Nothobranchius furzeri: one gene and its partners. The protein of the gene in region 6 interacts with the protein of the main gene of each other region in a pairwise test. Links are inferred from orthologs where the notes say so. Each region holds a gene or a part of one and is shown on either strand. Other genes may lie near its edges. The genes, in order: mpg, srek1ip1, ca8, snapc3, phf1, hsd17b14 and psma1.

What was found.
Region 1: the proteins of hsd17b14 (region 6) and mpg interact in binary tests that used the Homo sapiens proteins (3 or more experiments, as listed by UniProt). The two-hybrid records come from large-scale screens. The link is inferred for Nothobranchius furzeri from reciprocal best matches to the Homo sapiens genes HSD17B14 and MPG.
Region 2: the proteins of hsd17b14 (region 6) and srek1ip1 interact in binary tests that used the Homo sapiens proteins (3 or more experiments, as listed by UniProt). The two-hybrid records come from large-scale screens. The link is inferred for Nothobranchius furzeri from reciprocal best matches to the Homo sapiens genes HSD17B14 and SREK1IP1.
Region 3: the proteins of hsd17b14 (region 6) and ca8 interact in binary tests that used the Homo sapiens proteins (3 or more experiments, as listed by UniProt). The two-hybrid records come from large-scale screens. The link is inferred for Nothobranchius furzeri from reciprocal best matches to the Homo sapiens genes HSD17B14 and CA8.
Region 4: the proteins of hsd17b14 (region 6) and snapc3 interact in binary tests that used the Homo sapiens proteins (3 or more experiments, as listed by UniProt). The two-hybrid records come from large-scale screens. The link is inferred for Nothobranchius furzeri from reciprocal best matches to the Homo sapiens genes HSD17B14 and SNAPC3.
Region 5: the proteins of hsd17b14 (region 6) and phf1 interact in binary tests that used the Homo sapiens proteins (3 or more experiments, as listed by UniProt). The two-hybrid records come from large-scale screens. The link is inferred for Nothobranchius furzeri from reciprocal best matches to the Homo sapiens genes HSD17B14 and PHF1.
Region 7: the proteins of hsd17b14 (region 6) and psma1 interact in binary tests that used the Homo sapiens proteins (3 or more experiments, as listed by UniProt). The two-hybrid records come from large-scale screens. The link is inferred for Nothobranchius furzeri from reciprocal best matches to the Homo sapiens genes HSD17B14 and PSMA1.

The regions. Positions count from the first base shown.
Region 1 is NC_091745.1:3,714,262-3,718,360, reverse strand, and holds the start of mpg (DNA-3-methyladenine glycosylase), read left to right. Parts: upstream 1-1,299; 5' UTR 1,300-1,489; coding exon 1,490-1,705; intron 1,706-2,219; coding exon 2,220-2,424; intron 2,425-2,580; coding exon 2,581-3,032; 3' UTR 3,033-3,789; coding exon of another isoform or gene 3,790-3,955; 3' UTR 3,956-4,086; coding exon of another isoform or gene 4,087-4,099. Other genes in the region: GATOR1 complex protein NPRL3, read right to left, coding at 3,790-3,955, 4,087-4,099. UniProt on the Homo sapiens protein: Hydrolysis of the deoxyribose N-glycosidic bond to excise 3-methyladenine, and 7-methylguanine from the damaged DNA polymer formed by alkylation lesions.
Region 2 is NC_091748.1:63,077,273-63,081,302, reverse strand, and holds srek1ip1 (protein SREK1IP1), read left to right. Parts: upstream 1-1,230; 5' UTR 1,231-1,363; coding exon 1,364-1,376; intron 1,377-1,641; coding exon 1,642-1,689; intron 1,690-1,987; coding exon 1,988-2,146; intron 2,147-2,643; coding exon 2,644-2,713; intron 2,714-2,936; coding exon 2,937-3,171; 3' UTR 3,172-3,730; downstream 3,731-4,030. UniProt on the Homo sapiens protein: Possible splicing regulator involved in the control of cellular survival.
Region 3 is NC_091751.1:59,036,832-59,040,846, forward strand, and holds the start of ca8 (carbonic anhydrase-related protein), read left to right. Parts: upstream 1-1,215; 5' UTR 1,216-1,351; coding exon 1,352-1,424; intron 1,425-4,015. UniProt on the Homo sapiens protein: Does not have a carbonic anhydrase catalytic activity.
Region 4 is NC_091744.1:14,009,504-14,011,806, reverse strand, and holds part of snapc3 (snRNA-activating protein complex subunit 3), read left to right. Parts: intron 1-26; coding exon 27-176; intron 177-302; coding exon 303-385; intron 386-563; coding exon 564-722; intron 723-2,303.
Region 5 is NC_091745.1:62,322,322-62,326,594, reverse strand, and holds the start of phf1 (PHD finger protein 1), read left to right. Parts: upstream 1-1,473; 5' UTR 1,474-1,604; coding exon 1,605-1,609; intron 1,610-1,935; coding exon 1,936-2,014; intron 2,015-2,116; coding exon 2,117-2,198; intron 2,199-4,273. UniProt on the Homo sapiens protein: Polycomb group (PcG) that specifically binds histone H3 trimethylated at 'Lys-36' (H3K36me3) and recruits the PRC2 complex. Involved in DNA damage response and is recruited at double-strand breaks (DSBs).
Region 6 is NC_091745.1:6,244,590-6,247,578, forward strand, and holds the end of hsd17b14 (17-beta-hydroxysteroid dehydrogenase 14), read left to right. Parts: intron 1-136; coding exon 137-203; intron 204-282; coding exon 283-374; intron 375-990; coding exon 991-1,113; intron 1,114-1,188; coding exon 1,189-1,256; intron 1,257-1,606; coding exon 1,607-1,703; intron 1,704-1,972; coding exon 1,973-2,119; 3' UTR 2,120-2,489; downstream 2,490-2,989. Other genes in the region: bcat2 (branched-chain-amino-acid aminotransferase, mitochondrial), read left to right, coding at 2,724-2,741. UniProt on the Homo sapiens protein: Catalyzes the NAD(+)-dependent oxidation of L-fucose, yielding L-fucono-1,5-lactone, which rapidly converts spontaneously to L-fucone-1,4-lactone. Can also act on D-arabinose and L-galactose, with lower catalytic efficiency. Does not use NADPH.
Region 7 is NC_091744.1:46,382,969-46,387,135, reverse strand, and holds the start of psma1 (proteasome subunit alpha type-1), read right to left. Parts: upstream 2,801-4,167; 5' UTR 2,689-2,800; coding exon 2,686-2,688; intron 1,851-2,685; coding exon 1,806-1,850; intron 1,730-1,805; coding exon 1,628-1,729; intron 1-1,627. UniProt on the Homo sapiens protein: Component of the 20S core proteasome complex involved in the proteolytic degradation of most intracellular proteins. This complex plays numerous essential roles within the cell by associating with different regulatory particles.

The DNA of each region.
Region 1 (4,099 bases), about 2.5 Mb from region 6:
CATATTTAAAATGGTAGGGGGGTTAAATTTTCTGTTAAGTTGCAACTTTATTATTTCTAAATTACCAGTGAAACTTTCAATGTTTCACCAGCAGGCTTTACTTGCATGGAAATTATGCCATACACATAATTTCTCCCCACACAAAGAAATATTATGGAATAACGGTAATATTACCATAAACAACAAAAGCTTATACAAAATTAATTGGGTTGAGAAAGGCATCATTTTTGCTGCGGATTTATTTGATGATAACGGAAGCCTTTATACCTATGAAAACTTTTTGAAAACTAAGGACTTTCCAGTGAAATACAGAGAATTTGCCTCGGTCATGAGAGCCATTTCTTCAGGCATAGTTGAGTTAATGAGAGCACACTCTGTTTATCAGAGATTTAGTTTGCAGATGCCATCTCTAAAAGTTGGGGGTATTGATTTATTAGACAAGAAATGTTCAAACCAGCATATAAGGAAGGTTTTATGTTGTTCTGATACAGTGGCACCCAAAGGAAAGTTTTTCTGGAACACACAGTTTGATATAAATTGGAAGAAAGCATGGATGGTTCACTTTCAATACTGTATTTCAAACAAGATAAGGGAACTTAATTTCAAAAATTTACACAATATTTATCCATGTAACAAAAAAATATCATTGTTCAAGGATCTGGATGAGAAATGTACCTTTTGTCACACTGGTTCAGAGACTATCATACACTTATTTTATAATTGTCCTCTCTCATCTGGATTTTGGAAAGATATGGAAAATTTCATTATGATTAAATCCAAACACTCTATCCAAATCAGATCTAAGGATGTTATTATCAAGTTTGAATGTAATGATAAAAGGTTAAGTTTTATAATTAATTTAATGCTTCTTTTAGGGAAATTTCATATACATAAAGCGAGGGTCTCCAAATCTCTCCCTAACTTTTGCGTTTTCTTAAATGACTTCCATTCATATGTTAACACCATAAAGTTAATTGTAAATAAGAAGGCAGAACTCACTTTAATAAGTCTTCAATGTTTATTTCTGATTGACCCTGCATAACAAAAACAATCAAAAAATGTACCTTTTGGAAGGTTGTATTATCTGTTATGTGCCTCTTGTCAATTAATGAGCTGATGTCTGTTCGTGTGTATATTTGATGTATGTTTGTTAGTGCGACTATGTATTTGTGACAAAAACAAATAAAGTTTGTTTAAAAAAAGATGATGTCTGCAGCCAGATGCTCTTGGATGCTTGTGATCACATCACGTCAAAAAGGCGCGCGGTCCCTTTAAGAGAAGAAAAAAAACAATAATTTACTTCCGGTATGTAGTACGATACAATCATCAACGCTGCAGTGAAACATAGCCTAGTGAACTAGACCAAATTCTAAATAATACATTTATTTTGTCTGGCTTGCCAGGCTAGTGAAACACAGGAAGACCTTTGGAGTGGGCGTGTGGTGGAGATATTTTAGTTTAGAGCCCCGCTGTGGGCCGAGTCGATGTTATGGCTGCAAGGAAGAGAAAAACAGCTGATCCAACACAGAAAGAGCCGGCTTTGTCCAAACGTGAACCACCGATGAAGCCAGTTAAATGTGACCCAACTCCAAGCGTTGAACCGGAGCGAAGTCGTTATTTCAGCAGCAATGTCGTTCAGCACAGACTGGAGCAGGACTTCTTTAATCAGCCTTGTATCAGTCTGGCTAGATCGTTCCTTGGCAAGGTACTAATAATTAACATTTATGCTTTATTACTTTTATTAGCAACACTTCATTTTACCCTTAACTAAAATTCTCACCCCCACATATCAAAATCTGCCTATCTTTAGGAAAAGATGTTCTAAATAAACCAGTATTTATTAAAAAATCAAAAGTGCGTCATTCCTTTCTTATTAAAATGCTATAAAACTACATCAGAATGTACTGTGGGACTAGGTTGGTGCACTAAAACGATCAAACTAGACCAGATCTCTGCAAAAACCTATAAGTGTTTTTTCAGTGTAGGAATTAATCAGAAAACGAAACGGAAGTCAAATAATTTTGTCTCACATAGTGTCCTTATTTCCAGTTTGGTAAATAAATAAAATATTTAAAAAAAATCACAATTATCTTAAAATCCCATGTGAAAACATAATTAGTATGTAACTGTATCAGAACACAATAACACATGTATTCCCTGCAAGTTTTCAGTGAATAACTTCTCTGCTTGTCAACTAATCCCAGACCTTTGTCTGCCAGGTGTTGGTCCGTAGGTGTGCAGATGGAACTGAGCTGCGCGGGAGGATAGTGGAAACTGAAGCGTATCCTGGAGGAGAGGACAAAGCTTCACACTCATCTGGAGGCAAACGCACTGAAAGAAACACAGCCATGTTTATGAAGCCAGGCACAATCTATGTGTATCCAATCTATGGGATCTATCTGTGCATGAACGTGTCCAGTGAAGGTACGGTCATGTCCATCCTCACTGCACACATGCAGCTCTGCTCTGTGTTTTATTTGAGCTAGTCAGCATTTGTTTTATTTTGTTGGCGAAAGAGAAAAAGGAATGAGACCTAATGGAGCCTTGCTAATGGATGCATATTGTGTGCCGTTTCCTCAGGGGAGGGTGCTGCTGTTCTGCTGCGCTCTCTGGAGCCCCTCCAGGGTCACTCTGTCATGAGGAAGCTGAGGGCAGCTAGGCGCAAAGAAGGGGCTCGCCAACTGAAGGACAAAGAGCTCTGTAACGGGCCTTCAAAGCTGTGCCAGGCTCTAAATATACCTCGCTGTTTTGACCGTAGAGACCTCGCTTCAGACCCAGAGGTGTGGCTGGAGTCCGATCCAGACACAAGCCTGGCAAAGCCCCAAGACGTAGTATCAGCTCCTCGCATCGGGATCGAGTCCCACGGGGAATGGGCCAAGAAACCATGGAGGTTTTATCTCCATGGGCACCTGTGTGTTAGCGTTGTTAATAAAGAGGCAGAGAGGCTGTCTCCATCTGGAAATGTAATGTTCAGTTCAGGTCCACGAGATGTGCCGTCTGTAAAGACGAAGAGAACGGAGGAAGATTCCTAAAAATGCTTTTCCATCTGGGCCCCCCACCCCAAGTTAAACTCGCATACGTTATCTGATTGCGGTGTGGAAATACCCCAAACGTTACACAGAACATAACATGAAACTGTGCCATTATATGGAGAATATGTAGGCAGCTGTTTCAAAGTCAAAGTGATGAAATAAACTCCGGCTGGGATTTGAAAGGATAGAAAAATTATTTTACAGTTTTGAAATGCATTTATTGATGCAAAAGTATACAGAAGAGTGTAACGGAGTAACCAAGCAGATCTAACAAAGTGGATTCAGTAGATCAGTGCCTGTCAAAGTACTGAACCGTCTTTCTCAGTGTCATCTGTGATGTTCCATTCCCACGTGGGAAATGTTCCTTTCAGTGACTCCACAGATGTTTGGAACGCTCAGTTTCCCCTCAACCATCAGTTTGATGCTCCGTCTCTTCCTTTTCATAACAGTTTTTCCATCAAAACCTCTGGAATTCTTAAAAAAAGGTAGTTGGAGGTCTGGAAGGATCACTGTGACCCCGTGAAGCGGGTGGGGAGATCACGTCAATCTCCCAGCACACCAGTCCTTCCAGTATTCACAGTGGCCTCTTAAGGCATGTCCGTTGCTTACAAAATAATTTTATATTGTAAACCCACATTTGGCTCAAAGAGAGAACACTTTTTCATGTGTTGTAAATCTTTACACGCGTATGCTTTCGTCTCAGTTTGTGGTGAAGGAGAACCCGGCTGTGAGCAGATTATCTGCTCTGAAACAGCTGCTAATCCATGGGAGACTGAAAGATGGAAATTACGGGATCCTCGTGATTGGTCACTACAAGGACACTGCGGAACTTGTCGAACAGCGTCTTGAGCTGCGAGCGCCTCATGTTCTCATTGTACATAATTTCTTCCAGGTGGTGATGTCCCCGGAAATAATGCAGCAACCTGGAATTGGAAAAAAAAAGGCAGAAACACATTAATATTTTATCTGTTCTTATGTTTTACAATAAAACACCCAACCCAGTAAGTATAAAAACAAACACAAAGCTCTACTTGTTAAACGTGGACTTCATTACCTTGCAAACATTC
Region 2 (4,030 bases), on a different chromosome or scaffold from region 6:
AATTTGCTTTGTTCTCTCACCTGCAGACGTAAACCAACAGTGATGCAGATAAGTTTATTTTTTCCAGTTTTCTATTTTGAATGCAGATGTTACAGGAATGTCAAAATATTATTTAGAAAACATTTGATCTTGCCAAATGTTTTCAGGGACATCAGCTTTTATGGGGAATCTTCTGATTACTTTATCATTTCCTTTTTTACTAAGTTAATTCTAGATTTACTTCTGGCAGTTTGGTGTGTGTGTGTGCGTGTGTGTGTGTGTGTGTGTGTGTGTGTGTGTGTGTGTGTGTGTGTGTGTGTGTGTGTGTGTGTGTGTGTGTGTGTGTGTGTGTGTGTGTGTGTGTGTCACAGCCACAGACCTAATGATGACAGCACGTCTGGGGGCCCAACATCTGTCAGCATTTTCCATCTTCAAGCCTGGCTGCTGTCAATTAACCCCTGGCAAATAAAACCACACCAGACTTTGCTGGTAAATCAATCAGGAAAAGTGCAAACATTGCTAAATAACGAGTTTTTGTTGATTACAGAGATATCATTTATGAAAACAAAGTATTTTTAATTAAAACTTGAAATATGAACTAGCTAAACATTTGGAGGTACATGTTTCGATTTATGAATTTCTGTCACTGGCTGCTGCACAAACTACCTGAATCCTTTTTCGTTTGCTGATTATCCTAATGCTTTTGTTTGTTTGTTTTTCTGCAATGTGTAAACTGTTTTATTTATTGTTGCTCTGCAAGGACATTCCTAGATGTAAATCTCAACGACCCTTTCAGTTTAAAAAACTTTAATTAAATTTAAAAAGTGGTCAAAACTACTGTCCATGTGTTTAAACCTTGTTGATGTTGAAGTACCACCACAGACCCAATGATGACAACATCCAACTGTTTCCTTTAAATATATCCAGTGTTCATTGTAATGCTTATTTTTTCTTCTTGAATGAACGTCGTTTTGATCTTTGCCTTATTGGCTAGCTAGGTCTCCCTTAATAAAGATTTTTTAACCTCCATGGGCTTTCCCTGGTTAAATAAAATAAAATAAAATAAAATAAAATAAAATAAAATAAATAAATAAATAAATAATACTAGTAACTGTAAGGAACCATAAGATTTATTTTATTTATTTATATTTTTTGGAGACGATCTTTTTTTTTTGTAGGTCTTTGTTTTTAGCACATGTCCAGCAGGTGGCGACATTGAGCCACTGATTTTGTTTTCTAAACAGGAAATTAGAAGAAGAGAGGGAGGAAGCAGTAGTTTCAGGTGCAAATGTTTCCGGTCGACGGTATTGTTCTTGTAGACTTGCATTCGCTCTGAAATATATATTTTTTAAAACAAATTTGTAGTTTTATCACCAAAAGCACAATGGCGGCACCAGGTAGGGGTTCTGTTTGAGTGTTTTTAGGCTAATTTTTTGATCATTTAGCGTAGATAAGATAAGTAAAGTGGAGCTCATCTTTACAACAGTTAAACCTCCAACAAACACGGAGACTACTCCTGGCATTTTCGCACAAATCCTGGATATATTATAACTTAGCTAAATATCGTTAAACAATTTCTGTGTTGAAAAAGAAATAATGCAGTCATAAAGCGCTTTCCCGCGTGAATCTTCGTGATATTTAACCTCTTGTATCACCTGACAGCTGCCAACAAAGACAACATCAGAGCTGGCTGTAAGAAATGTGGCTATCGTAAGTAACTTTATCTAATAGATTACTTATTAGTACAAATGTATGCATTCGATTTATTTTTCAAGTTACATTTGAAAAGTGAATTCTTTGAATCTTAAATGCTTTTGGAGACAGATAGAGGTACTTTGTTTAAAATGAGCCAAAAACAAGTTATATGATTTAAAATATGCTATCAGTAATGAAGAACTGTGTAAATAATTAGATTTAATGTTTTCACTGACGTTTTTCCATCTGAACAAATGTTCTTTTCCTTAATTTAGTGTTTCAATTGTGATCTCTTTTTGTGTTCGTTTCTCAGCGGGACATTTGACGTTTGAGTGCCGAAACTTCGTCCGGGTCGACCCGCAGAAAGACATTGTTCTGGATGTGAGCAGCACCAGCAGCGAGGAGAGTGAAGATGACGGACCAGTTTCTCAGCACACAGAGAAACTGGGACGGAGTGGTCAGCATCACAAAGGTCAGATGGCTTAAAATTTGCTTAAATCAATAATATTTTGATTAAAATAAAGCAAAGAAAGTGCAGACTACCATCCATCTATCTATTTTCCTCCGCTTATCCGGGTTCGGGCCATGGGGGCAGCAGCTTAAGCAGAGAGGGCCAGGCTTCCCTTTCCCGAGCCACTTGGTCCAGCTTCTCTGGGGGAATCCCAAGGCGTTCCCTGTCCTACTGAGAAACATAGTGCCTCCAGCTTGTCCTTGGTCTTCCTTTAGGTCTACTCCCAGTTTGACGTGTCTGGAAAACCTCACCAGGGAGGCATCCTAACCAGATCCTCTCAATGTGGAGGCAGACCGTCACCGCTTACTTTACATAAGAAACTAAAAAAAATCAAACAAGAGACTTTCAAATGCTAATCAAACTTTCTGTTCTTCTATGATTCAGGTCCTGTTCTGCTTCTACTGTGACTTGCTTTGATTCAATGTCGACTTTTCCTTTCATTATTTTCAATGTTTTAGATTCCAATGATGATGACGATAGAAAAAAGAAGCGGAAACAGAAGAACAAAGACAGAAAGTCAAGAAAAAGGTCATTTATCTTGTGTTTATATTAAGATACGTGTTTTTAATGCTCCTATATTCTCAATTACTGTGTTGAAAAAAGCATGTAAGTTGTTGGAAAATATTTTTCATTCCACTAGTTAAAGATAGACTAATAATGTATTATTTTAGATGTTTTTATAGTTGATACTTAAAGATTTGAAGTGTTTTCTTGGTTTTACCAAAGCCAGTAACTATTATTTAAAATTTAGATCTTACTCGTCGTCGAGTGATGGGGGCACAAAAAAAAAGAAGAAGCGAAGCAGATCAAGCTCATCGTCGGATGAAGAGGAGAGAAGAAAGAAAAAGAAACTAAGCCGCAAGAAGAAGAGTAAAAAGAACAAAAAAGAGCACGGGAAGCATCACAAAATGAAAGAGAAGAAGAGGAAACACAAATCATCCTCATCATCCTCTTCCACCTCTGGTGAATCATCAGACAGTGACTGAACAGTGTCGTTTCTGGACGACGTGTTTATTCAGAAGTGTAGATGGTCTGCGTTTTGACACTTTATAAATGCAGCAAATCAAATAGTTTCATCTGAGCTTTCCTTTCTGAGTGTTAAAGTAAATTTTGTCTGCTACAGATTAATGGCAACAATATGACGTAAGGGTTAAAATGACTGCTGATTTCCTCTGAGACTGTCAGGAACCCATCTTTATACAAGGATTTAAAATATTAAACACTTCATACTGCAGGTTAATAAGTTCCTATTTCTGTTATTTTTATGTATTTTAGTCAAAAAGGATCAATTTAAAAGGTCAAAGTGCTTTTAAACATGAGGGCAGTACGGTGGTTCAGTTGGTAGTGCTGTTGCTTTGCAGCGGGAAGGTCACAGGTTCAAATCCTGACCTTTCTTTGTGTAGGTTGCATGTGTGAGGTTTCTGCAAAAATGCATAAACAGTCAGTGAAATGCATCATCTTTGCTGTAATTACTGCAGGTTTGTCTTAGTTTTCTGTTGATCACTGACCCTTTACTGGGAATAAAACATGTTTGTTTCAGTTTAATCTGTCACTGTTTTCCCTTTGTAATCTAATCTGACCAAATTTAATAAACCACCAATCCTGATTGACAAAAAAAAAAAAAAAAACGGACTAAATATGGTTCATATGCAGCCACATGGCCACTAGAGGGAAGCATCACACCTCATATTTCTATCTGGTAAACTGCTGTTTAACAACATCAGCACTTAAAAGAGAAGTTTCAGCTTCATGAAAGGTTTGGAGTTATTCACTAGTGCTAAAGATGCTCAAAAGTCCCTAAAAGAAGTGCATTCAGATCCTTTCACAATAAGGCTGTATTAAGTA
Region 3 (4,015 bases), on a different chromosome or scaffold from region 6:
ATGGAGGCTGTAGTTCAGTGTGATATTGACCTGCATTCTATTTTATGACCACCAGGTGGAGACTTATTCAGCCACATAAGACTCAAGAGGAAATCCTGATTTTCTCTTGAATCTTTACAATGATAAACCTTCTTTTCATATATAAGTGCATTTTTTAAAATTTTCGGTGCAGCTTAATATTGCGTACAAGTTTCATTTGATTTGCTACTAAACTCAAGGTCCAAAACTATTTGTCACCAAAAGTGAAACCTACATAAACATCTATGACATGTCTTCTGTGGCAGATGCAGAAGTCATGTCATCACAACATATCTGCATTAAGGCATTAAAAAGTTGATTGAAGTTTCAAATGTAGACCACATGCGTATAGATGTTGTATGTTCTGTTTTCAGAGCGTGGAAACAAGGGAGGCTGACTTTATTCTGATGGCTCCAAGGACACTGTCCAGATAAAGAATGTAGGGTAATTAACATAATCAGCCTGGAGGAGATGGATGTAGAAAAAAAATCAAATGAACAAACTCTTCTTTTTGAGTTTCTACACATTTCTCTGAAATACATCATATTCTGAATGTCACTGATCAACCTTTTCTCATTAGAACAGCTTACCAGAAGTGAATTTTCTACTTTTTTTGTCTATCCATCGTGAAGTCATCAAGGTAGAACAGTCAACCCTTTCTTTCTACACCTCCTGCTGTTTTCAGTCTATTTTTTAATCATTGCTGTTTCCTTCACCCAAGGGTGGGTCTGGGGCCTCCAAGAAAACACCAGTGTGACCTTCCTGCTTGCATTCCAGCACAAGCACATTCAAAACATAGACAGGACTCACCCTTAAAAAAGATTCACAGAACTCAGACCAACCTGGAAGGACTGAACTAAATTTTCTGCAACTCAATTGATTTCCACCCAGGATAAGAGGGAAAGTCTGTGGTGGGGTGGAAGACAAACAAACACTTGCCTGTGACCATTTGGAAGAGAGCCATGGTGGGCAGGCAGGCACACCTGCAGCCCGCAAGAAAAGGAAACAAAGAAAGGAAGGAGGAAAGAGAGGAGGGGAGACAGATAGCAGAAGAGCAGAGAGAGAGAGAGAGAGGAGGAGGAGCGACAGAAAAGTGAAACAAGAGTTCTCATCTGTTATAGTTGCTTTAAGAGGGCAAGAGCTCCAGAGCAGAGAGGAGGATAAAGAATAGAATGAAAAAAGAGGAACTGAATAAAGTAGTTTTAAAAAGTTGATGTTTTACTGGGAATTTATCCAGCAAATACTTCACTTTGCATCCAAGTGAACAGAGAAAACCAGTGAGGCTGGGAGTTTACTGGGACAGCAGACTGGTTTCTACTCACTGCTAAGAACCATGGCCAACCACGTCAACGTAGAGTCCGATTATATCTCTGGGAAGGATGAGCTGGACTGGGGCTACGAGGAAGGTAGGCTGGTCACCATGAGAAAAAGATGGTGTGTGTGTGTGTGTGTGTGTGTGTGTGTGTGTGTGTGTGTGTGTTCTTCTGCATTCTTCAAAACCTGGACTTGGATCAGTGAAATGTACCTTTTTCTACCAGTACAACATGTGCAAAGAGATGTTGGCTTTACTCCCATGTGTTGCAAGTTGCTCAAGGTTGACCAAAAAAGCCTTCTGGACAGAATATTTGAGACTTTTAGCCCCAAAAAGATTTAAAATATTTTTACCTTACTTTCTTTTAATCCTTTCCAAACAAAGACTTTTTAATATGACAGCAAAACAAGGATTATAAATTACAATTAAAAGTATAATCAACAGACCACACATTGATTATAAATCTGATAGCTTCACATTGAAATACATGGGTAAAGATTTCCTATGGTGTACTGCAGTTAGCATAATACAGGTTCTTACTGCCATTACAATCTAAACATGCAGCACACACACACATGCGTGCACGCATTCAGAGTAATCTGTACTATTATTTATTTACTATTGGCTGATGAACTAGACCAGTGGTTCCAAACCTGTGGTTCGTGACCCCCAAGGGGGTTCCCGTAAGATTGCTGGGGTACCTATAATTTTGTCTTTGGTGAGGTAAAGTTAAAGTCCTAGTAGTTGTCACACACACAGGTGTGTGTGCGAAATTTGTTCTCCGCATTTGACCCATCCCCTGGGGGAGCGGTGAGCTGCAGACACAGCCGCGCTCGGGAACTATTTGGTGGTTTAACCCCCCAATCCAACCCCTTAATGCTGAGTGTCAAGCAGGGAGGCACTGGGTCCCATTTTTTCAAAGTCTTTGGTATGACCTGACCAGGAATCGAACCCCTGATCTCCCAGTCTCAGGGCGGACACTCTACCACTAGGCCACTGAGAAAGGTTGATTGTGTGCATGCAGGTAGGAGCTGGGGTTGGGGGGCCCTGGCTTGTCTTGGACACAGGAATGGGGGCCCTCATGAAAAAAAGGTTGGGATCCACTGAACTAGACACAGTCTTTGTGTGTACAGTAGATAAAGTTTCCTTTTAATCATCTGTTAAGTCAGTTTATCTAAAACAAATAAGAAATGTGACACTAAACAGCTGCTGTGACGAGGCGTAGCCCGCTCTGCTGCAGGAGCTAGAGAAAACATTAGCGGCTGATTTTTACATAACAAGGTGGGAAACACTCTCATCTTAAACACGGTAACCAGAACTTTAGTGGTTTATAAAAACCAAAGGGTGTTGTTCTTGTGTTGTCTCACTTTGTCTTCCCTCATTCTGTTTTTACTGAGCGTCGGAGGATGAACTGATTCCGTTCTGTGATTCTTACTGTGAGTATGCTGACTGATCAGGAACATTTCTGTGCATGAATAAGATTAAATAGTTTCACATATTTTACTGCAATTTAATCAGATTTTTAATAAAATGTGTCTGTTTTGACACATTTTAGAAATGATAACTGCGTAGGGCTCTTGTGATATTATAGATTTATATGATATAAAAATAAACAAAATAAACCCAACTCTATTCTGTTCTAGTTCTATTTAATTCCCTTTAATACAAATTTAGTAGAAAGCTGTACAAAATTTTTCCAGTCGCGATTTTCTGCAAATTAGTTATTTAAATAAATGTCAATTTCTACAGCAAAGGGTTTCAAACAATAAAAAAGTACAGTTGAATCTGCGATGGGAAAGAAAAGCATCATGATAAACAGCTAAATAGCACAAATACATGAGTAGAAAGGGGATGCAAAGAGAGGTGCATTATGGGATGCCTTCTCACAGCCTGGTTTATTTAACAGCATAGGGATGAGGCCATATAGACTTTAGCAGTTTTTAACTAATAAGAAATTGGCTCCAGTGAAATAAAGTATACATTTGTTTACCACAGTGTCATGAGCATACAGTGTGAAAAAGAGACAAATCCTGCATTATCTGTTGCTTTTGTCTGAGAAGATTCTATGCAAGAGCCTTGCATGCACACAGAGCTTTGCAAAGCCTTTTCAGTTCTGCAGTGAGACCCTCACGTGTTCAGAAAACTGTTGTCATGGCTTTAGTTGCTGAGGAAAGAGGGAATGTTACATCTCCGTGCTTAGCTGTGGAGAGAATAGTCCACCACTGTGGAGGGTTTGTCCCTGCGCTATAGGGAGACACACTCAAAGGAACTTGGAGGGAGAAATGTGTGTTTTCAGCATTTTATGTTTAGTTCATCTTTTTAAAACACACCAAGTTTGTCATCTGTAATGTCATTTTGGGTTTATTAGCCTATCACAGGAGAAAATAATGGGAGTAAACTTTTTTCAAAGTCATAATTTCACCATAATATTCATACATCTATGAATGTTAAAGTTCACAACAAAATATTTATCGAGCAAGGTAAAAAAAATTAGATTTACATATTTATTTTCCAAACTAAACATTTAGGTCGGACCTAAATATTTAGTTTGTGATATAAATGTTTTACTCCAAATTAAATTTTTAGCTTGCGAGCTAAGTTTGGATCTTTAACATTTATAAACGTATGAATAACATGGTGAAAATATGACTTTGAAAAATGGACTCCCATTTCCCCCTCCTCTTT
Region 4 (2,303 bases), on a different chromosome or scaffold from region 6:
CCTTTCCTTGCGCGTGTTCCCTCCAGTTTAACTTCACCAGACCTTGCATGACTCTGCTGATGACCGGCTCCCACACCCTGACTGAGCTCAGGGATGCCATTTGCTGCATCAGTGATCTGCAAGTGTGCGGCGAGTTCAGCAAGACCCCAGACGTTGCTCCAGACTTCATCAGCAAAGTATCCACATGCCTCTAAACACACACCCACACATACTGTGACAGTGCTCTTAATTAGAAAGTTACTGAAGATGGTAGGAAAGAATGACACAACATAAAGCTGCTGTTTTGATATGTTCTGTTTCAGGATCATTTTAAGTCGGCATTCTTTTTCTTTGAGGGAGTTTTCTACAATGACATGAGATTCCCTGAGTGCCAGGACATCAGCATGTAAGATTGTATACTCCTATTGACTGAGACTGTTTAGAATATTTGATTGTTGAGCATCTAATTTTCCCCTATTATTTGTAACTCCAGTAAAATCAATAACAACGTTCTAAAAGGCACAACTCTGTATATTCTGAGATTGGCAATTTTTATGATTGATTTCTGCACCTTTTTGCTCCAGCACTACTGTTGAATGGGCAAAGGCCCATAACTTCCCCCAGTATAGTCAGGCCAAGATGGAGGACACGCGCTTTGTGGATCTGAAGGTGAAAGTAGGATTCCCGTACCTCTATTGCCACCAGGGAGAATGTGAACATATCATCATTATCACAGATGTCAGGTTGGTGTTGTGTGATTAGAGTGTTTGCATCACACAGAACTAGTTTAAAGCAACACTAAAGAAGTTTTTTGCATCTCCACCTACTGGTTGAAAGTTGAATTACAACCGTCGTAAAAAAATCTACCACAGCCTGCTGTAGCTAGGGCTAACAACGAGCTATTGCTAACACGAGCCAACTGATACTAATTCAGCCACGAAGTATAAAGATCCACACTGTTGGACAAAAACAACTTACAAGTCCAGTGGCAACAAAGCCAGGTCACCATCAGATTGTGATTTTGTAGCCTCCTTCAAACAAGTTTGGCCTGCACCGATGTTCATTCTACTTTTAGCTCTTAAGTTCCAGGCACTGTCATGAAGTCAACAAAAAAAGCTAAATTATTCTTTTTCTTGTACATTTATCAACAGTCAGCAAACCAAAAAAGCTAACTGCTAGCCTTTATAGTAGCCACTGATGCAAACAGCTATTGCTGTAAAGAAGGTAGAGACCTCCAACTAGAGTCTCTACCCGAACCACAAAAAGCTTGAGGGCAGTTTCTGATTAGCAGAGGGCTGCAGAGTGCTGTCCAACGTGAAGCTGGTCAAGTTAATGAATCAAGAATCACTGAAACCAGTTTAAAATCAATAACTTTTAGTGTTAAAAGGTCTTAATTGTTGCTTCAAATCTGAGGAGTACGAGTGAGAATAAAGAAAACTGCATGTGTGTAAATAGTTGAACGAGATGTGTTGGAAAGCACTTTGCAGAACTTTGAGGAGGTTTTCTTAGTGTGGGCAATAAAACACGAAAGTTTTAAATTAAACTGTGAAGAAGGTCGCACGCGCCAAAATGCGTCGGCTTTTCCTTTTTTTTTTCTTGCTGATAATAAACATTTTTCAGAGTGCCTCGGGTTACCTGTTTTTCTTCCCCATCCACATTCCATAATTTTAAATGAAACCATTTGAAAATACACAATAAAAAACACTGATTTGCAAAGCTGCAGTTTCATTTGAGGGGAACTAAAGATTTACGATTGAGTCAATGAATGAAAAGCATTTTTAGGGATGTGAGAAAACCTTGATACACTGAAATATCACAAATAAATATTAATATTTAAAAGCAGTGTATCGATTTTAAAAACAACTTGCATGCTAACATTTACTGCAGGGGTGTCAAACTCAAACTCACACGGGGCCGAAATGAAACTCTGGGACGGAGTCGAGGGCCAAACTTAATATTTTTTGAAAAAGTGACGGCAAATTTGCACATTTTCTTTATCAACATATATGCAATTTTGAACCTTTAAATTTGGAAACAAACATATTTCTGCATTAACACTGAATGAGGAATAACCAAATTACACACGAGCAAGTCAGTTTTAAATAAAAGGCATCAGTGGTATTCATTACTTGTGGTATAATCAGCATTTTATAAATCTATTCAGGATTTATGTTTTCTTGTTTATTCATTTTTCTTATTTTTTTATTGTCCTTTTTTCTCCTGTAATACGTGTCATCGCTGCTGTGACATCTAGCTTTCCCCACTGAGGAACAATAAAGGGATTTTCTATTCTATTCATCTATCTGCAGCCTTTCCACTTCCTG
Region 5 (4,273 bases), about 56 Mb from region 6:
ATCAGATCAACTCTCATCCTGATCTCAGCTTTTAAAAACCACTGATCTCAGGGCAGTTTTAGAGTCAACATCATCAAAACCCGTTTTTGGTGTCTCTTGGTAAGTCTATTTTCCTGACAACCACACAAGCGTGATTTATGATTGTCTGACACTTTCAAATCTTCTCTGATTCTCCAGCTGCAGTGTTTCCAACAGACTTCCTTGTGTTTGCGCGCCATCTAGTGATCACTTACTGAAAATAACACTTCACCTTCTTTTGAAGAAATATTTACCAGAGGCCATTTTGAACCAGCGGTGTTACCGTGCTCGTGTCTGACTGGTGAAATAAACACACGAACAATCTGGGATTTGTCAGAACTAACCAGTAAGCACGTAAGTGAGCTAATGTAATATTTTAGGGTCTTTTATTAAGTACTTCTCATTTTATTTGAAGTTAACTCATGTTGTTGGATAACTTGATTTATATCGGTATAGTTTCATATTTTGAGAAAATGTTGAAGCAAGTGTGCACGAGTTCCTCATGATGAGTAAAACGAAACTTTTCAGAATCAGTTGTATACCGCTGATGTCCTTAAATGACCTGTGAAAGAAGAGTAAAGTTCATGTCAGCAGAGACTAAAATTACAAGACCTTTTAAAGTGTTCTGCTGTTAAACTTTTCTCCACCGGTCTCCTAAACTTGTTGAAGACCAATCAACGAGGCGGGAAAATACACTAATTGGCTGCTTAATTGGCCGCTGTTACGCGCGCTTCCACCGAGGCTGTGGTGCCCTCCTGCTGCCCTTAGAGCTCAGGCATCACTGTATTGTCACAACTGTTTACCGGTCATGCTCTCAGACGATAAGGAGCCCCCCTCCTCGGTCGGATATGTCGGTGTTTTATGTCTGCGTCACAACAAGTCGGCGGAGAGCGAGCGGGAGGGATGATGGCGTCTCTGGCGGCTTGATTCCGGCGCAGCTTTGACAAACCCGCACCGTATTAGTAGCTGGGGGGGGGGGGGGGGGACGGAGGGGGAGCAACAGCGACGGGAACATGACGAAACGGCATCGCGGAGGACGGACAAACTAGACTGAAAGACGGACAGTCGCCTTTGTCCTCCTCCTCTTCCTCCTCCTCCCCCTCGCTGACGGCTTGACTGACACACTGGCGCCTGGCAGAGACACAGAATACATGCACATCTTCTACTTTTCTGTTTCCTTTTCTTTTTTTTTTTCTTTTCCACCAAAAGCTGCGCATCGCAGCAGGCAGGAATCTGGGCAGCAGGGATCCACGGCAGATGAGGGCATTTCCTGTCCAGGAATCACCGTGACCCCGACGGAAAGGAGTTCGACTTGACAGGTACCCTTCACCGGCCAGCTCACTGTCCAATTGGCTCCATCCTCCATCAGATGCTGCTCAGCATCCTGCATCTGCGTAGACCTGAGTGCATGCACCGGAACAAATGCAGTGTGGAAAAAGAACAGTGTCTGCAGTCATTTCACGCATCTGTTTAAGTTTTCTTAAAAACTGAGAAGGTGGCGACAGCAGCAAAGTCCACCGAGGATGCTTCAAGTGGCTGCACAGGGAGCTCTGCCTGTTCAGTGAAACTGTGTTGCAGTAACCATCATGCAGTGAGTGTGTGTGTATGTGAGTGTGTGTGTGTGTGTTTGATGTGTGCAGTAATCATTTATCTTCCTCTCTGGTTGTGTATACTCACTCTCATCCTTCACTGTGCTGGATACAGGCTGTATGCTCAGGTCTAAGAAGGAGGAGGGGGGGGGGGGGGGGCGTTTAGATTTGAACCCATTTGCACCAAAACCCGACTGTCTGAGAGGCAGTCAGAATGCCGGGGCTGTAAACCCCTCCGTCAGCAGCGGCGGCGGCAAAGTGTTCAGCAAATAAATCGGATTTCCATTTCACACGAGCCCTGCTCTCTCCTCTCTGTGTCTCTCCTCAGGATGGGGGGTGTCAGTGAGGGAGATGATGTGTTGGCTCGTTGGAGTGATGGACTACTGTACCTTGGCAATGTAAAACGGGTATGTGTGTGTGTGTGTGTGTGTGTGTGTGTGTGTGTGTATGTGTGTGTGTTGATCCAAAGCACTCTGATGATGATGATGTTTGGTGTCTGCTCTCCTCAGGTAGACGGAGTCAAGCAGTGTTGTCTGGTGAGATTTGAGGACAACTCTGAGTTCTGGGTTCTGAGGAAGGACATTCACTCGTGTAAGAAAAACTTTCTTTTCCCGTCAGCTGGAGGAGTTAGAAACTTCCCTGCGCCGAGAACTTTTCTGACTGAGCAACAGATTTCAGCAGCGAGTTTCCTGCAAGTCTCCAAATTATTTCAGGCCACGTTTAGGAAGATTTCCTGTTGCTGCTGCTGAAAACGTTTCTGAAAGCTATCATTAACATGCATGTTTTCCTTTTTCAGACTAATGGTTAGAATGTGGTCAGTGAAAGACTATTATTTTTTTACACTTTAATTTGAAGGATTTGGGCTTTCTTGTAAAGTTTTCTTCAGTTCTCTCCTCAGGTTTGATTCTTTTTTTGTCATTTTCTGGTCATAGCAGAATTTTAAGGTAAACATTTTTTTTCATTTGCTTTAAAATGAACACATTTGAGGCCAAAAGAAGTGTCCGAATTAAAGATGCGAGAAAAGTCAGGATGTCTCTAAAGAATCAGGGCCAGAGAGATCCATCATCCTTAAGCTTGATGGCTCTTTCAGCTTCACCTTGTTGGAGCGAAAATCCGCATCTGTACCTGTCAAACTGGGAACTTTTTACTGCCTTTTTAATAGATTCGGCTAAAAACGGAACATGTTGTGTATGTGACAGGCTTCGGGTAACGGCAGAGCTTAAAGAGCCAATTCAGAACTGGTTTTGTTTTGTGTTTACACAATTCTGGCTCTTCTCTTGGGAGCCTTTTTCACATCTGAATGACAGATCAGAGATTTACCTCAGCAAGTCAGGAACCTTTAGTGTCGAAGTCAAAGGGTTGTTACTATGGATGCACATTATATATCTGCATCAGGTCGGTATCAGTTTGATAAGTAAATCTGGGCCGATATTGGCAACAAATATTTCTTCCATCTTGTTTCTGTTTGTGTTTCAGTTTCAGAGGGTGAGAGTGATGTGTGACTGTTTAGTCATGTTACAATGATGCGTAAATGTGTGTGTATGTAATAACACACACACACACACACACACACACACACACACACACACACACACACACACACACACACACACTGGTATCGGCCCAAAATTTCATATTGTGCATCCCTAGTTGTTACTTTATAATAAGAAATGCAGATACACTGCAGATCCAGCAGTGGTGCAAAGAACTGCAACACCCATAATGCATTGTGTAAATGAGCTATTATAGGCCTTTCTAAACACGAACACCCTATTTAGCATTTGGTTCTGAACTCAACCTGTAAATAACTCCTCAGAATGCTCAGCAGTTTCCAAGAAGAATAACAACAACAGTAACAATAACAACAACAACAACAACAACAATAATAATTACAATCAGGTGAAGCTTTTCCTAAAACAGCCTACTTTCAAATTTTCTGTCCATTTTTTGACTATAAAATTGACACTCCCTCGTTATTTATTTCCTAAGTTTCTAATAAAGAAGCTTAATGAACCATTAAAGGACATTCCCAAATGTGGTTGGAAAAGCAGCTGAAGTTCAAAAATGACTTTGGAAAACTTCTGAACAGGACCTATTTTTTAAACAAGGCCTTTTTATTCAAGTTTTAACAGTAGATTTTAAACTTACCAAACTATACGGGACTAAACCCATCGTCCCCACCCACAAAGGAAATAACAGAAACAAACTATAAAGACACACTATCAAATTAAGACAGAAATGGAACAAAACCAGATCCACTACAAGGATGTTTTAAAACAGATTACAATATAGCCTGAGTGCTTGGAAATAAAGAAATAAACAACAAGACTTGAGACTTTTGCACAGTTCTGTTGAAAAACCACAATTTTTGACATTTTATGAAATAAAACTTTAGCTTATCCGCTGTTTGCTTGGACCTCACATGTGCAGTCTTTAGTTATTATGAAACCTGATATAGTCTTGAATATAAATCCCATCAAGATTACTTCTAGGCTTCAAAATAGTTTACTTTCAGACTTAAGCCCTGTCCACACGTAGCCGGGGATCTGCCAAAACGTAGATATTTTCTACGTTTTGGCCTGTCATCCACATGAAAACGGAGTTTTTTCACACGAAAACGGATCTTTTTAAAATCTCTGGCTAAAGTGAAGATCTGCGTTTTCTCC
Region 6 (2,989 bases):
GGACCTCGCGGATGCGTCAAGCATAAACCAACCTTAAGAGCTGCAGCAACAGTGGGCCCCATGGTTTAACAGGAAATTGTTTAATGTGAACTTTTAGTTGTTATTCATATTAGTTTGTCCTTATTTGTCTCTTCAGATGTTGATCTCAGTCACTGTGCAGCTTTATGGACACATTGATTGCCTGGTCAACAACGCTGGCTGGCGTGAGTCGCCCTCTTGATTCTTGCAGACGTATTTGAGAATGAAGCTGCAGATTAATTTTTAGATCATCTTCATCCTCAGACCCTCCTCACAAAGCCACCGATGAAACAACAGCAGAGGAGTTCAGAGAGCTGCTGAATCTCAACCTCATCAGTTACTTCCTGGCTTCTAAAGTAAAGTTTTATACGTGCGTCAACAAATAATTTAGCAGGAATTTTTTTTACCTATGAATAGGAAAATAGTGTAAAAATATTATTTATTTTTCCTTAGAAAATATATCAGAGTTGAGAGCAAGAGAAAGGGGGAAAAGTTAAAAAATACAAAACATCTCAAGTGAATAGTTTATTTGGTCACGTCCTAAAACTTTGTGGGAATTTCATTTTAAAAAATGTACGATTTAAGGTCAAACTGTCTGATAATGGAGACGTTTGTTTTAAATAGAAGGCTTGAAATGATATTGGAGTTTAAAATCTGATTCATGAAATTTGGGAAAACAAAATTACATAAAAATAACAAAACTACAACTTGATAAAGGGAATGTGTCATCTCCAGAACTTGAATTATTAATAAAGTTTATTCAAACCTCAAACTTACAAAAAATCATGAGAAAAAGAATTTGACACATATGTGAAATTACGTTTTTCTCATTTTTATTTTATAAATAAAACCTACCCCCAATAACAGCTTAGATTTGTAACATTTGTGTAATAATATAGTTTTTATACTCCTGCGTTGTTGCAAAGACCTTCCCATCATGCTTGTGTGTGTGTGTGTGTGTGTTTGTGAAAGCTCTGGCTCTCTCTGCAGATTGCATTACCCTACCTGCGCCAGCATCAGGGAAACATTATTAATGTTTCCAGTCTTGTGGGCACAATTGGTCAGAAAGATGCTGCACCCTATGTTGCCACTAAAGTGAGTTAATAGATGCTAGAAGAATATTTTAAAAACCAGCAGAGCTGCTCTGTAATGTAACGTTTCCTCCACAAGGGAGCGATCATCGCCATGACCAAGGCCATGGCTGTGGATGAGAGTCGATGCAATGTGAGAGTGAACTGGTGAGGCAAACCTCTCTTTGATGTCACCAGTTAAATATCCAATAGGGTAATAATGTTATTTGCTAAAGAAGCCAAACAGTGAAATTTTACATTATTTTTAGATTTATGGCTTTTTGTGATTTCCTTGCTGCTTGAGGAATAATTAGCAACGGTTTCAGTAATCGTGATTCTCAAACTACATGTGAAATTAGAAAAAAATAAGTTAATGTGCAAAATTCTTTTCTGCTAGTAATTCAACTTAAAAGGTGAAACTAAAATGAGATATAGACTCAGTGCATGCAAAGCCAGACATTTCAAGCCTTTAGTTGTTATAACTGTGATGATTATGGCTTACAGCTGATTTGTTTCAGCATCTCTCCAGGTAACGTGATGACGCCGCTTTGGGAAGAACTTGCAGCACAGACGCCAGATGCTGCAGAGGCCATCAGAGTGGGAGAAAATGCTCAGGTTAGCTCAGGAAAGTAGCAAAAGCTTTTCATTAGGTACAGTTTTTGTGTCAAGAGCATGTAGCAGATGATTTTTGCTGATGCAGCAGAAGTTGCCTTGTGTTAATGTAACAAACAGCTGTACAAGACAGAATAGAGGAACAGAATGTTTCTTGATATCAAATTTGTACCAATTTTCCTTGTTTAACAGCAGTAGCTGTGTGAACAGCTGTTGATGGCAGAAGAAACTGCCTGGTACAACCAGTCACATGTGCTTTCTCCTCCCAACAGCTGATGGGTCGTATGGGAACAGAGGCTGAGTGTGGACTTGCTGCCTTGTATCTGGCTGCAGATGCCACTTTCTGCACCGGGATCGACCTGCTGCTCAGCGGAGGGGCAGAACTCAACTACGGCTTTAAGAGTCAGATCCTGTCCTGATCTTTCTGACCTCTACAGCATCGTGTGGCTTTTGAGCAGCTGGAAATTATTTTCAAACTGAAAAATCACCTGTTTACATACTAAAATCAACAGTAATGGCTCATAAAACAGGGAGGTTGGTGATGCAAAAAAATTAAGTGTCCCTTTATTTTATCTGCCTGGTTGAGTTTATGGGTTAGGGTTATGTTGGCATCCAGGCCAATTGTAACTAGACCTGCACCACCCTCCAATGCTAGACCAATCAGTATTAAACATATTTGACCTACAGTAACCTCTCTGCCTCTAGCCCAATCAGATGCCATGCATTTGGCACGCCTCTGTTAACTTCCTAGCTAAGACCATTCAACATTAATAAAGCCTTAAAAATTGACAGTCTCATTAACTTTGTCCCCCTTTTTACCCACTGGCATTCTTATACATATGGTGTAAATAGTTAAAATAAAAACAAGTACCAGTAACATATTGTTTATAAACCTGGTATGAGTATTTATGTGAGGTGCCTTGCTGTTTTCTGGCACCACAGCAGCTGGGCGGAACTAATGTTTAGTTTGTTTGTTTCCACACGAACGGATAATCTCGTTTTTATCAGCGCTACGTAGAAGAGATGGCTGCTCTCCGGACCGTGAGTTCATTCACTTATGTCTGTCTGGGGTTTATCTGTTTTGACTGATAACCTGGGTTAAAGATTAATTTGATTCATCGATAAATGTGTATCCAACCACAATATAAGATAACGTTCCCTGTTTATCACCTGGCATTACGCGCCTGCAGTCTATCCCGCTCGCTGGAAAAAGGAGAACCGAACCTGGAGTTGGAAATATTAATTTTAGTGTTCGGGGTCAAAATAACTGGCATTCGCGACCGCTGTAG
Region 7 (4,167 bases), on a different chromosome or scaffold from region 6:
TTCGTGTTAATTTTAGAGAAATAGAGAAAGCGTATAAATTTGTTTAATTCTGTCATTTTGATGTTCCAGACTTGGGTCATGCTGCAGCCACGCAGCAGCAATTTTATTCAGAGTTGAGCTTTGTGTTAGGATGGGAAAAACAGAAAAAGGCTGCAGTTACCCTTTTGATGGCCTGCAGCCACAGACGCCTCCGATTTTGTTGAAATGGATGTGCTCCCTTCGGAATTCTGTAAAGTTTCAGTCCACTGCTTGAAGAGAAGCGATTCTGGCATCCATACACGCAACAACCCGACATGTTTATGTGCTCAGAACTTCAAAACAAAGGGTTTAAAACGCTGTTTTAGTATCGAGTGTGAATGAGAAAGCCTTCACTCTCGTTGCCAGGCTGCGCGCGCAACTTTTGATGACGTAGGTAGTAAAAGGGTCTATATTGTGGATGAAAAAAGGAATGGTCTGACAGCAGAAAGAGCAGAAATGCTTATATTCCTCAGAAAGAACCTGTCATTGTTTAAGTGAGATTAGATGAACAACATTTAAGTACCTCACGCATTTACATTTTTTTTCAAGAATAGTTCCAGACTCTGACAAGATTGTTAACTTTATCTAGGTCACCTGCAATGCAAAATCTCCAATGCTTGAATTGTACTTTTCAGATGCACACTGTTGCTGTTTGTTTACATTGCACTTTTCTTTAATTCAAAATGTTTAACATTTGAAAACTTTTGTTTTTTTTACTGCTACATGAGCAAAGACTTACTGAATTTGTCTCAGATGCACTTTTTTTTGATAGTGTGATTTTATACTTGAAAATTACATTTTTGATACTACAAAAGACAGTGAACTTAATTTGTGGGGATTGGATAAAGCCCTCTATTTTATTTGGAGTAGTTTTATGGAAGTTTACCCTTTTCAATTCATATTTGACAATTTAAAAATGTGTTACTGCCTAGTGTGATTATTTGGACCTGGGCTGTTTAGTTCAATTGAAAGGGTTTGTTTCTTTGATTGTGCATAATGCACTTGCGTCCAGTAACCCTGCCTTGAAATTGAATAAATTTCAATTTGAAACATTAGTTGCTTTTTTATTTTTATTTTAGGATAGACAATTAGTTGTTTTATGACCTCGCTTATCTCAACTTATCTTTTGGGACATGGTGCTGGGCTCTTACTTGTAGGGCTTTCTCTCAATTACATATCATTCTTGTAGAAAAGAGTTTATTATAGCCTTATAAAATCAACCATAATAATAATCATAATGACATTAAAACAAATATTCCTCTAGTATCGAAATAATATCGGTATCGGTAGATATTCAAATTCAGTTATCGGAATCGGAAGTGAAAAAATGTGGATCGATGCATCCCTAGTTTCAGGCTGAGTAGTGCTCCTACAAAACTAGCTATAGAGTCATGCTGCATCACGTAAAGTTTGGTATTCTTGACAACCATAAACTTTACCTTCATCCTATGATAATTCTAGTTTTCCTTGTGGATGGGAATCAGCAAAAGGCCAGCATTTTCAACAACACAGAAACTTGTAAATGTCAATAAGAGACCACGTTCAGGTCCCTTACTGACATCAAGTGAGAGGAATCTAGACTGGTGACAGTTTCAGCAGTGAGATGTACCTTTAGTGCAACCAGGACTGCATGTGTTTTGGATTTCAGTCCTACAGTTGCAGATCCTTGCTTCACCGCCTCCATGGCATATTCGATCTGATGGATCCGCCCCTGTGAGTGCACAAAAACGAGCATAAGCAACTTGTGTGACATCTACACTTGGTGACTCATGCTGAGGAAAACTTACCTGTGGGCTCCATACTGTCACATCATTGTCGTACTGGTTGCGGAACTACAGATAAAGAAAAACAAATCCAAAATTAGATTTAGAAGTCTTACATTACAGAATAATCATCAATGGTTGAACTTACATAATCGTCTTGCATTTTATTAACTGTTTTCTCACGTATTTCTTTGACGCGATAAGTTAACAATGTCCGTGCCTGTAGGTCTACAGCCAGGTCTTCTCTACCCAGAGGTTTTAAATTACTTTAATGAATAAATAACTGATAATCTCGCGATTTTGCTAAGCTCCCTCCGAACCACAAGCAGCCTTCAGACTGGCTGAGGTCATATTCCTGCTCGATTTCTGTGTACCAATTGTTTAGTAAAATGCTGACATTAGAAATACTTGTGGATCAATTCGTAGCTATCTTAGCTTTACCACACGGACAGACAAAATAAGTCACTATCAAAATGAACGGTGAGCTGAGAAACCGAAAGCACAGCCTACCCCGAGCATTGCTAAGGCTAACTTAGAAGCTAATGTTAGCTAACAATTAGTGTTAGCCTGCTGCCGGCTTTGGACTCATCTAAATAAGTAATGTTGTCATATCGATTACAATTTCGGGGGTCATTACGTATTATTCAATGTAACACAGTAAAGCAAACACACTGGTTTATGCGAGTAGGCAGTCATAATCAGTGTAGCGCCAACAGTTTCCAAGGCTGTTTTGCTTACTCACAATACAGACAAAACTAAGCTAGTTATGTTAGCTCACACCGACTAAATTGATCCTCTAAATGATAAATGAACAGGCATAACGGTAAACTAACTATTTTATTTTTGTGTAAATAATGTATAATTTTAAACTGGCAAGACTAAATGAAATTTCATTCAAACCTACCATTTCTGATTAGGAGTGTGCGATGCGGTCCACACTTCTCGATTCTCGATTTCTTTTCCTGGGCGTTACGTCAGGGAAAAGCAGCAGAGCCCTGATTTCAAATCTCTGATCGACTGAGTGAACAAACGTTATTTATTTATTTATTTATTTATTTATTTATTTATTTATTTATGAAAATAAAATTTAAAAGACACACTTCTCCTTAGGGCTTTATTTGACTTTCAATTTTTTTAACACTTGCACATATTATTATTATTATTATTATTATTATTATTATTATTATTGATGATGATGATGATGATGATGATGATGATGATGATGATGTTGTTTAACCACCAAATAATTGCAGCCACTGCTGCAACTCCCCACTCCCCACAGGAATTGGTCAAATGTGGAGAAGCAATTTCACCAATGTGTGATGACTAATGGGACTTTAAGAATTACAAACATTTTAATTAAGAATCAATCTATTTTAGTATAGAAATTTGTTACATGCAAGTGACTGCCACATTTGACTGAAAAGTCTATGAGACCAAGATAGAGATAAGAAAGTTTATGAAAATTAATTAGAGAAAGAAAAGGAGATGTAGGTATTCGAGTCCCACTAGTTGTCACACTGGTGTGGGAAAGGTGTTCTCTGCATTTGATCCATCTCCTTGGGGAGCAGTGAGCTGCAGACATGGCTGCACTCGGGACTCATTTGGTGGTTTAACCCTTTTTTTAAGGTCTTTGGTATGGCCCAAACATATTTGAACCAGGGATTTGAACTCACCATTCCCCAGGCTCAGGGTAGACCCTCATACCACTAGGCCCCTGAGTCAATTGCAACTTGTGGTTACACAAACAGCACAACCAATGTATTAATCATATATTTATTTACCAAAAATAACCTAAACTAAAATGTAAAAATAATGTGGAAAAAATGACCTCATGCAGGCTTTTTTTAAACTTTTTTTTATTTCGTTTATTTATTTGTAATAATTTTTTTTAAATTTACATTTATTTTTGTTTTATCATCTTTATTTGTTGTTTGTACATTGACTCTGTTGTCTTTCTTTTTTTATTGATTGTAAAGAAAGAGGACCTGCTCGAAAATGAGATGGCTCATCTCAAGCGGTTTACATCCTCATAAAATTTAAGTCAAAATAAATAAATATATGTAGTTTTTCTGAACATTTTGCGAAGGTTTTTTCTCCTCATCACTACAGAAACCTCTCATCTTTACACATGCAGTGATGGTGCTTGAACACTAGGTGGAAGCAGTAAATGAGGAAATCCAACAGATTTTACCAAATTGGTGACACTCAAAAACATGCGTCACTGACTGCTGTTACAGCAGAAACCAGTGGGAAGGAGAACTAGCTGAACCAAGACAAAATGAGAGATATTGTACCCACATTTGTCCATTTTTGGTCTCTCACTGTGTTCACACCTATTTAATCTACACTCAGGCTTTACTTATCCCAACAATATTCAGATTTT